Linked DNA regions of Neurospora crassa OR74A. The protein of the gene in region 1 purifies or fractionates together with the protein of each later gene. This does not show direct contact. Links are inferred from orthologs where the notes say so. Each region holds a gene or a part of one and is shown in the gene's direction. Other genes may lie near its edges. The genes, in order: NCU04640 and NCU04344.

Region 1 (4,376 bases):
TCCACCCCTGGTATCCCAGATTATACCGAAAAAATAGGGTATCGAGAATTGTGCTGCCGTCGCCTTTGACTCGAGTACCTCATCACCACGGTCGCCTGTCTGCCTCCCTCATACTGATACTGGCGTAGCAGCTCCTATCCAACCGGCAATGTTGAATAGCGTCTTGTTATACCATTGGACCTTGACCCCGTGCGCCCACTCCATGTACCGTCCCCAACCTGCCGGGCCATGTTAGCAACTGACTTTCCGCATCGTCGTTATTGTCTCCTCCCACAGCGCAAGCTGTCTTTCCCAAGATCTGGTTTTGGTTTGTCTTACTCCAATAAGCAAACTTGCGCCCCAAAAACTTGCCCGCGAACGGTATTAGCACCAAGTTCAAGAGAAGCTGCAGCTGCTCGAGACTCTGTTCCCATTCCTTTTGTGCGTCTGATTCGTCGTCGTACTCGGAGTCGTCCGAGCCTAGGATACTGCTGGAGATGGACGGGAGGGAGTCGACATCGTCGTTGTCGGTTGACGGGGAGTGGTCGTGGAGGACGTAGGAATCGGAGGGGGTGGACATGGTTTTGGATGTCCCGAATGCGCAATTTGTCTGTCTGAGGGTATCGCGTCTCTGGCCGGGAGTAGGTAGCTATCGTCAGTGTGGTTTGGATGAGGCGAGCAAGTGGTCGGCGCCGGCGCACGGTCGGTTGTCGCGGTGAAGATGGTACTGTAAGTAGCTATCGTAGCTCGGGCAAATTGCGATAGTTCGGGATGGAGACACTGTACGAATCGGCGTAACGCCTGACGTGTAGGATATTGTAGAAATCGCGTGGGACGAACTTGATTGCTGCTGGGAGATTCGTTGTCGGTTACGAACACAGCGATACACGGAGATGGATACCTCTACGGACTCGGCGCGCCTTCCAAGGTTCGTGATGGAGCTGGTTGTTGTCGGTGACCGATGACGGGCCACGGCACCAACTGCTGCAGCAGTGCAGCTATGCGATGCTGGAATGGACACCACTCACCTATCGCTGCCGCCAAGCACTGCACCGGACTGCAAGTGCCAGTGCCAACCCAACCGTGTCGGACTGTGCGGCCGTGGCTCGAGCGGGTTGAAGGCACCGTGCTGCAGGGAGGAGGGCTGCATGGCCTGGAAAATGGAGAAGCGGAGGCGATTTGTAGTTGCAAGTGGCGGGCAGCTGTCTGAGCTCTTCCCACCCCACTTGTCAGGTGATTGAGAAGACTGACTCACAGTTTCGCTTCAATCAACGTCATGAGGTGAACACAGCTGAGGCGTGGTGCCGGTGCCCCATCCAGAGCCGTGTGTACAGAAAGAACTCCGCTCAGTCTCCAGCCCAACGACAGAACTAAACGACAGTAGTAGTAGGTAACCAGACCAGGACCCAAGCGGCATCCAACTACCTAGGTCCCCGCAAAGAACAATTCCAGGTCCGAAACTGAAAGAAAGCTGAGATCAGTCTGCCTGCATCGATACCTCTCCCGACCCCAAAGTCTACCTAATCTCATCCATCGACAAAATCCACTCTCTGCGACCAACAAAGAGTCCACCGGAAGAGACATCGATTACAAAGAAAAAGACGGACAATCACACACCTACAGACAGACAGACAGACACCACCACACTCTCAAACACACCAGTGGCCCAGCATGGATTCTGAAGTAAGTACCTGGGATGGATCTCCTTGCTTCAGTACACACTCACTACCTCTACGCCCACACAACACACCCTCCGTCCTCCCCGACCCTACCACCACGCTAGAGGCAGACACCTCGAGCCCTGGGGGGAGCCACGCTTCTCGCCTAGTCAAAAATACTAAGGAAATAAAAAGTCCCATTCACCACACTGCACACCCCTCACTGTACTTTGCTACCTACGCAGTGCAATTATACCTATCCCCGGCCCCAGCCCTCAAGTCCCCTGACGTGTACTGCCCCTCCAAGGCGCCAACCCTCTCCCTCCACCCCCAGCCCAAAATCCACCATAAAGTTCTGGCACTCTGCAGCGCGAAAACGCCGCCAATCATCCCAAAAAATTCCGAGCTTTCCTATCCACACTCGACGGCGAAATCCTTGACCGCTATCGCGACTCCCACGACAAGCGCCTTATCCACTCCGATATACTAACCCTTTAGGCGCCCTCTATCAAAAGACGCCCCTCGCGCAAGTCTGTCACCTTTACCGACGAGAAGCTAGTTGTCAACCCCGACGGTTCTGTCACCATGGACGCCTCTCCCGCCGACGAAATCAAGGAGACTGCCCAGTCCCACTCTGCTCGTACGCCGCCCCTCCACGCCGCTCTCGGGGCCTTTACTGATGCCCCCCAAGCCACCGAGCCCCAGGATGCTGCTGCTGCTGCCGCCCCCGCCGCCGATGATGGCCTCGACCTTTCGCTCATGAAGAAGAAGAAGAAGAAGGTCAAGAAGGAGGACGATGCCGACGCCGCTGCTGATGAGGCCGCCCCTGCCGAGGGTGACGGTGCTATCGACCTCACCATGAAGAAAAAGAAGAAGAAGAAGGTCGTCAAGGAGGATGATGAGTTCGCCAAGAAGCTGGAGGCTCTCAACATTGAGGGCAAGGAGGGCGAGGAGGCCGCCCCCCAGGAGGACGAGCAGGAGGGCGATATGGACCAGGGCACCGGCATTTGGGCCCACGACGAGACCAAGCCCATCAGCTACAACGCTCTTCTGTCCCGTTTCTTCGCCCTTCTCTCGCAAAAGAACCCCGACCACGCCTCTACCGGTACACGGTCGTACAAGATCCCGCCCCCGCAGTGTCTCCGTGAAGGCAACAAGAAGACCATCTTCGCCAACCTGCCCGAGATTTGCAAGCGCATGAAGAGAGCCGACGAGCACGTTACTTCTTACCTTTTCGCCGAATTGGGTACCAGCGGTTCCGTCGACGGCAGCAGGCGTCTGGTCATCAAGGGTCGTTTCCAGCAGAAGCAGATCGAGAACGTTCTGCGTACCTACATTATCGGTATGTCTATTTGATCCTGTCGTCGTTTGGACGTTTTGCGCCCAAGTAGACAATGTCACCACCAGCACCCAACGTTTTGCTCTGACTACAAATGCTAACATGCTCAACAGAGTACGTTACCTGCAAGACGTGCCGTTCCCCCAACACCGAGCTCTCCAAGGGCGAGAACCGTCTTTAGTAAGTTGGCCTCTGTTTACGACGACCATAGCCCCAAAATGCTGACATGTCACAGTTTCATTACCTGCAACTCTTGCGGTTCTAGGCGGTCTGTCCAGGCCATTAAGACCGGTTTCTCTGCCCAGGTCGGCAAGAGAAAGAAGATGCAGGGTTAAGCGGTTTTTGTTTTCTTGTTTCGAGGCCCTTGCAGTTTGCTTTTCAATGTTTTCACGCTTCAAGGACGGAGTTAAGACGGCATTGTATATGGCTGGTTGGGCACGGGTCTTTTACGAAGTAGCACGGCCCCTCTGAACGGCAATCTCTCATCTCCAGTACACGAGAGAGAGGATGGAAGAGAGAGTCTGTGCTACAAAATCAGGTGAATTCCTTACGCGGTAGGGTACGGGTTAATATGACGATACTTGATGAAGAATTGGTACACAAAAAGTTCTGGTTTTTGATGATGGTGGCACACTTATCCTTACTTTGCATAGGGAGTCTGATAAAGAGGAGGGCTTTCTTCTTTTCCTGAGCTTGTCTGATTTATATGGATGAGGGCTGCGAGGTTGTATCTAGACTGATGTGGGATTCAGAGGTTCTCAGGTCATTCATGACCATGGTCAGCAAGCTAGACTGGGAGAGCAAGGAAGAGGCTGACTGAGCGCAGGATTACGAAGCGATGGATTTTGAGATCTTGCGAACAGGAATTATTCTCTGTTCTTTGCAGTATGTATAGCCATTCAGTCTACCTTTATAAACTACATTATGTTATCGAAACTCAAAGTGGCAGTTGAGTAAAATGATAAACCTTGATACTCCGCGATTGGTGAGAAAAAGCGGCCGCTTAGGTTCGAAATCTCACCTTGACGCGTATACATTGCGTATACACTACGTTCCGATGTTTTGGCGATCGATCCATGATATGCCGAGCACATGCATGATAGTTAGCTTCGGGAGAATCTTTCCCCTCCACATTTTGCATCAACAAACCCATATAAGACGATGGGCCGCAGGCAACAACTCAACGGTTCAACCTCGTCTGTCTGTTCGATAGATTAGTCAACACTTTCCAAGTCAACGCGTAACGTGACTCATCACTACTTTACCTGCTCGATTCCACTCATCACTCAAGTCTTCCCCTTCATCATCACAACCACCAGGTACAAGCCAAAATGACCATCCGCTAAACCGGCCCCAGAGGAGTCGACCAGCACATCCCCCACCCTTCTTCTCACCACCAC
Region 2 (3,959 bases), on another chromosome or scaffold:
CGACGATGGAGGAGGAGGGAGCGAAAAGGCCGACAAAGGAGGCTGTGAATTGCTGTCCAGGTCCGTCGACAAGGGGCGATCCTGCCTTGCTCTCCTCCCAAACTTGGTCCCGCTCAAGTTCACCGTGATCGTTTCGCCCTCCTTCAAGCTATAATCCTTCTTCTCCTCGGCCTCCTGTTTCTTGCTTGACTTGATCAGGGGCGCCACGCCCTCGATGAGGCCCAGCGACTTTTGCGCCTCCTGCAGGGCCACGCCAAAGTCGAAAGACTCGCTGCGCTCCTCGAAGCCGACGCCGAGCATGGCCTTCTTGCCGGTGGTGGGATCCTGCACGCGCAGGGCAAAGAAGCGGCTGCTGTCGATGGTGGCCTCGACGACGGCCTGGGTGGTGTAGGGGGCGGCGGCGATCAGGTCGTTTGTGGCAGGGTCCTCGAGCACAATGTCGACCTTGACCGTGTCCTTCTCTCCAATCTGCTCGGGCGTCTGCGGCGGGATCGAGGTCTCGATGATGCGCACGCGGCCGGTGAAGATGTGCGCCTTGGGGTCGGCGGTCCAGTCGGCGGCCATGTGGCCCTTGGTCGAGCGCATAGGGGGGATCTGGTAGATGTGGACCGAGGAGGAGGTGATGTGGAGGATGCGCTGGATGGCATCGGCCGGGAGGGGGGCCTGCGTGGCCGGGTCTATGAGGGTCGTCATGATGTGTGTTGTGTTATGGTGGTGGTGGTGGTGGTCACGGTCGTAATGGTGTTTCTGTCCTTGTGATTTGCTTGCTAGCGTACCTAGTCCCTATGTCGGCAACTTATAGTCGACGCTCAACAGGAAGCCAGGGGGGGAAGAAGAAGAAGAAGAAGAAGAGACTGAAGCCAACATCGCCAACCAACGGGTCCATACACCTAGGTAGTTTCAAATGCCCGATGAAGAAAGAGACAATGACGGTAAAGGGTCCTCCGCTACTGTAGAAACCCCTAAGTTAGCTTCACATTCCCCTTGCTGCCCCTGTTCCATGGAAGCGGACGGCGGGGCGGAAGCCACAGGAAGTACCTAACAGTGGTAGCAGCGCAGATGCCAGGGGCAGCCTGGAGTAGAAAGGATCCACGCAGCCCCAGGGGGGACCCTCAGTGTTTCGACCCTGTAAAGAGCCCCCGAAAGGTCCGTGAGGTGACTGGTGGGCGGCGGTGACAAGCCGCAACACCTGGCATGGAAATCACCCAGGGCAGCAACAACCCCGCTAGGTAGTAGTGTACACTAGCAGCTGCCGATAGCGGGGCACATACCTAGCGGGCATGAAATGGAAACAAAGAATGGCCGGAGAGCTTCGTTGACGTGCAGTAGGTACACTCAGTAGTAGGTACGCATTGAGGACGGTGAGTGGCGGCAGAATACTTCAAAGGGCCGCCCGCACTTGGGAATTTGGGATGAAGAAGGTTACATGTACAGCTAGTAGAGGTAGGTACGCATCTTGAGTCACACTTTCAGATCAGACCAGACGCACGCTTCTTCAGAAAACGCTGCATTTTATCGACTCTGCATACCACAAACCAGATCATTGTCGCAATACATAAACCTGTACGATTTGACAAAGCCAAAACCTGCCTGCCTGCTCCAAGTCTCCCAAGTGACTAAAACACCCCGAACCCTCCCCACTTGGATCGACCGCCGCAACAGTGCTTCCTCCCGGGAGGACTTGTATGTTTTGGCAACGAAAACCACTTCCCACACCTTCACAATATCAACACACTTTGTCGTCTTCTCCAACAACCCCCATAGAAACATGGCCACCGACGACCTATCCAACAAGCCGCTCGCGGTACGGACGACATCGTCCACCTCCACTGATGGCGCCTCGTTCGAGTGAGTTTGCTTTGGCGTAATTACCACACGCGTCATAACCAAACCGCGCTGAACCCTTTCGTCGCATTGCTTGCCTCTGACCAAGACAAACAAACAGCATCGTCAAAACCTACCGCGACCTCCTCACCTCCGACCCCGACATGACTATGCCCGTAGCAGCCATCGAATCGCTCATCGAGCTCTTGCGCGTCACCCCTTCCTCAACAGCCATGGAAACCGTCGAGGTCGTCAAGACCCAAAAGGCCCTCCTCCTCGACTCGGCCCCGAACCCTCTCCCTCTGCTAGCCGGCGCCGACCTCTTCGAGCAGTACCTTCTCCGGTCGCTTAGAGGGCAGACCGCCGAGTCCTTCGACGAGACGAAGCGCCACCTGCTCAACAACCGCCAGCTCTTTGCCGCCCGCGCCAAGGCCGCCCGCGACAACATTGCCGTCATCGGTTCCCGCTACATGTCGCACCGCAAGATCGTCCTGGCCGCCGGCGGTTCGCGGGTGGTGACCAAGATCCTGGTGCACGCCGCCACGACCCGGACCAACACGCACTTCAAGGTCATTTACGTCATGGACGGCAGTCCGCACTGCGACGCCAGCGTCTCGGCCCTGCGCGACGCCGGCCTGGAGGTGGAGACCATCTCGACCTCCAAGGTGGCCTACGTCCTCAAGGACCAAAAGGACATCAACATCGTCCTCGTCGGCAGCGAGGTCGTCATGCAAAACGGCGGCATCATCTCGCGCATGGGCACTTCGCAGCTTGCTCTGCTCACGCGCTTCGCGGGCGGCTCGCAGAAGCGCTTCTTGGTTGCTGCGGAAAGTCACAAGATTGTGCGCAAGACGCCCCTCTGGCACCCACAGGTGTTGAGGGTCGGCGTCAAGCAGAAGGATATCAGCAAGTTTGACAACGTGGGCGTTGACCCTGTAGGCCAAGAGGCGAGGGATTGGGTGGCGGATCGCGATGAGGTGGATTATACCGATCCGGAGCTGATTGATGGCATTGTGACGGAGCAGGGAGTGAAGCAGCCGAGTCAGATTTGGGAGTTGGTTGATTATGAGAAGTGAGGGGGGTCTTGCTGCCCGATACTGAAGGTGAAAGGTGTTGAAAAGCGTGGGTAACAAAAGGGCGGTTTTATGAATGGATGGATGGATGGATGGAACTGCTTGATCATTTTCAAGTTATCGGTGTGGTTACTGTGGTAAATATCCTTGCAGCATTATTAGGCGTTTTTAACGGGAAATGGGATAGGTACCTGATATCCTTTGGAGGTTTGGTTGATGAAAGAGTCTCTTTTCTCACTTGCTTGGCCTGTGAAGGAAAACAAAGTACGTGCTAAAGTTAAACCAGGGATGCCTGATCGAGTGGAGTGACATATGAAACCACCCCATTCATATACATGTAGTTGACCGAAATTTCATAACCAAGAAAAAGATACCCATCTGAGTACTAACCAAGACTGCGCTATTCACGTCGTCTTCACTTTCCAACCAGCCATAGTCCACCACCCATTACACATACAAACACAACGACTCACAAATCCCTAACAACTCTCGCCCCCACCCAAGCATAAGGATAATTCCTCTGGTACCAATTCACAAAGCTCTTCCTCCCCGCAATCCTCGGATGCGTAGCCCAGCTCCCTCCCAGCACAATGTTGTGCTTCTCATCGAAAAAATCCGCCGTATAGCCGGGGTACAGCTCCATCGGCTCGAACCCCTCCCACTTGCGGAGGACCGATGAAGTCCATTCCCACACGCCGCCGAGCTCGCCTTGCCCGACAAGGGTGTTGCCTTTGGAGGTGATGGGCATAGGGTGCCAGTTGTGAAAACCGACATTGGCACCGTCTAGGTCAGAGAAGAGGTCTTCGGTGGTGATGAGGGTGGTGTTGCTGTCGGAGGGGGAGGAAGACTCGGCGGGGGTCTCGGAAGAGGGAGAGGATGGGGGAGTGATTTCCACGCCGTTGTTGGTTAGGTGGCTGTTTATCAATGGGAAAGATATTGTTAGTGCGAGCTGGACACGGGAGAGTAAGTCGAAGGGACATACGCATTAACAGCCGGAACCGTCCTTCCCAATTGTCTCTCAGCTTCCTTCTTCTTCTTGAGAGCATCGGCGTAAGCGTAAAT

Evidence for each region.
Region 2: the proteins of NCU04640 (region 1) and NCU04344 purify together in Saccharomyces cerevisiae (affinity purification with mass spectrometry; 4 studies listed by BioGRID, with this or other methods). This does not show direct contact. The link is inferred for Neurospora crassa OR74A from reciprocal best matches to the Saccharomyces cerevisiae genes SUI3 and GCN3.

What each region holds. Positions count from the first base shown.
Region 1 is NC_026505.1:1,363,666-1,368,041, reverse strand, and holds NCU04640 (eukaryotic translation initiation factor 2 beta subunit), read left to right. Parts: upstream 1-1,284; 5' UTR 1,285-1,650; coding exon 1,651-1,662; exon of another isoform or gene 1,663-2,135; coding exon 2,136-2,277; intron 2,278-2,328; coding exon 2,329-2,979; intron 2,980-3,089; coding exon 3,090-3,156; intron 3,157-3,211; coding exon 3,212-3,311; 3' UTR 3,312-3,958; downstream 3,959-4,376. Other genes in the region: NCU16952 (hypothetical protein), read right to left, coding at 109-218, 319-559. UniProt on the Saccharomyces cerevisiae protein: Component of the eIF2 complex that functions in the early steps of protein synthesis by forming a ternary complex with GTP and initiator tRNA.
Region 2 is NC_026504.1:3,704,074-3,708,032, forward strand, and holds NCU04344 (translation initiation factor eIF-2B alpha subunit), read left to right. Parts: upstream 1-1,450; 5' UTR 1,451-1,768; coding exon 1,769-1,848; intron 1,849-1,945; coding exon 1,946-2,900; 3' UTR 2,901-3,280; downstream 3,281-3,959. Other genes in the region: NCU04345 (adaptin ear-binding coat-associated protein 2), read right to left, coding at 1-693; egt-1 (DUF323 domain-containing protein), read right to left, coding at 3,367-3,811, 3,880-3,959. UniProt on the Saccharomyces cerevisiae protein: Acts as a component of the translation initiation factor 2B (eIF2B) complex, which catalyzes the exchange of GDP for GTP on the eukaryotic initiation factor 2 (eIF2) complex gamma subunit.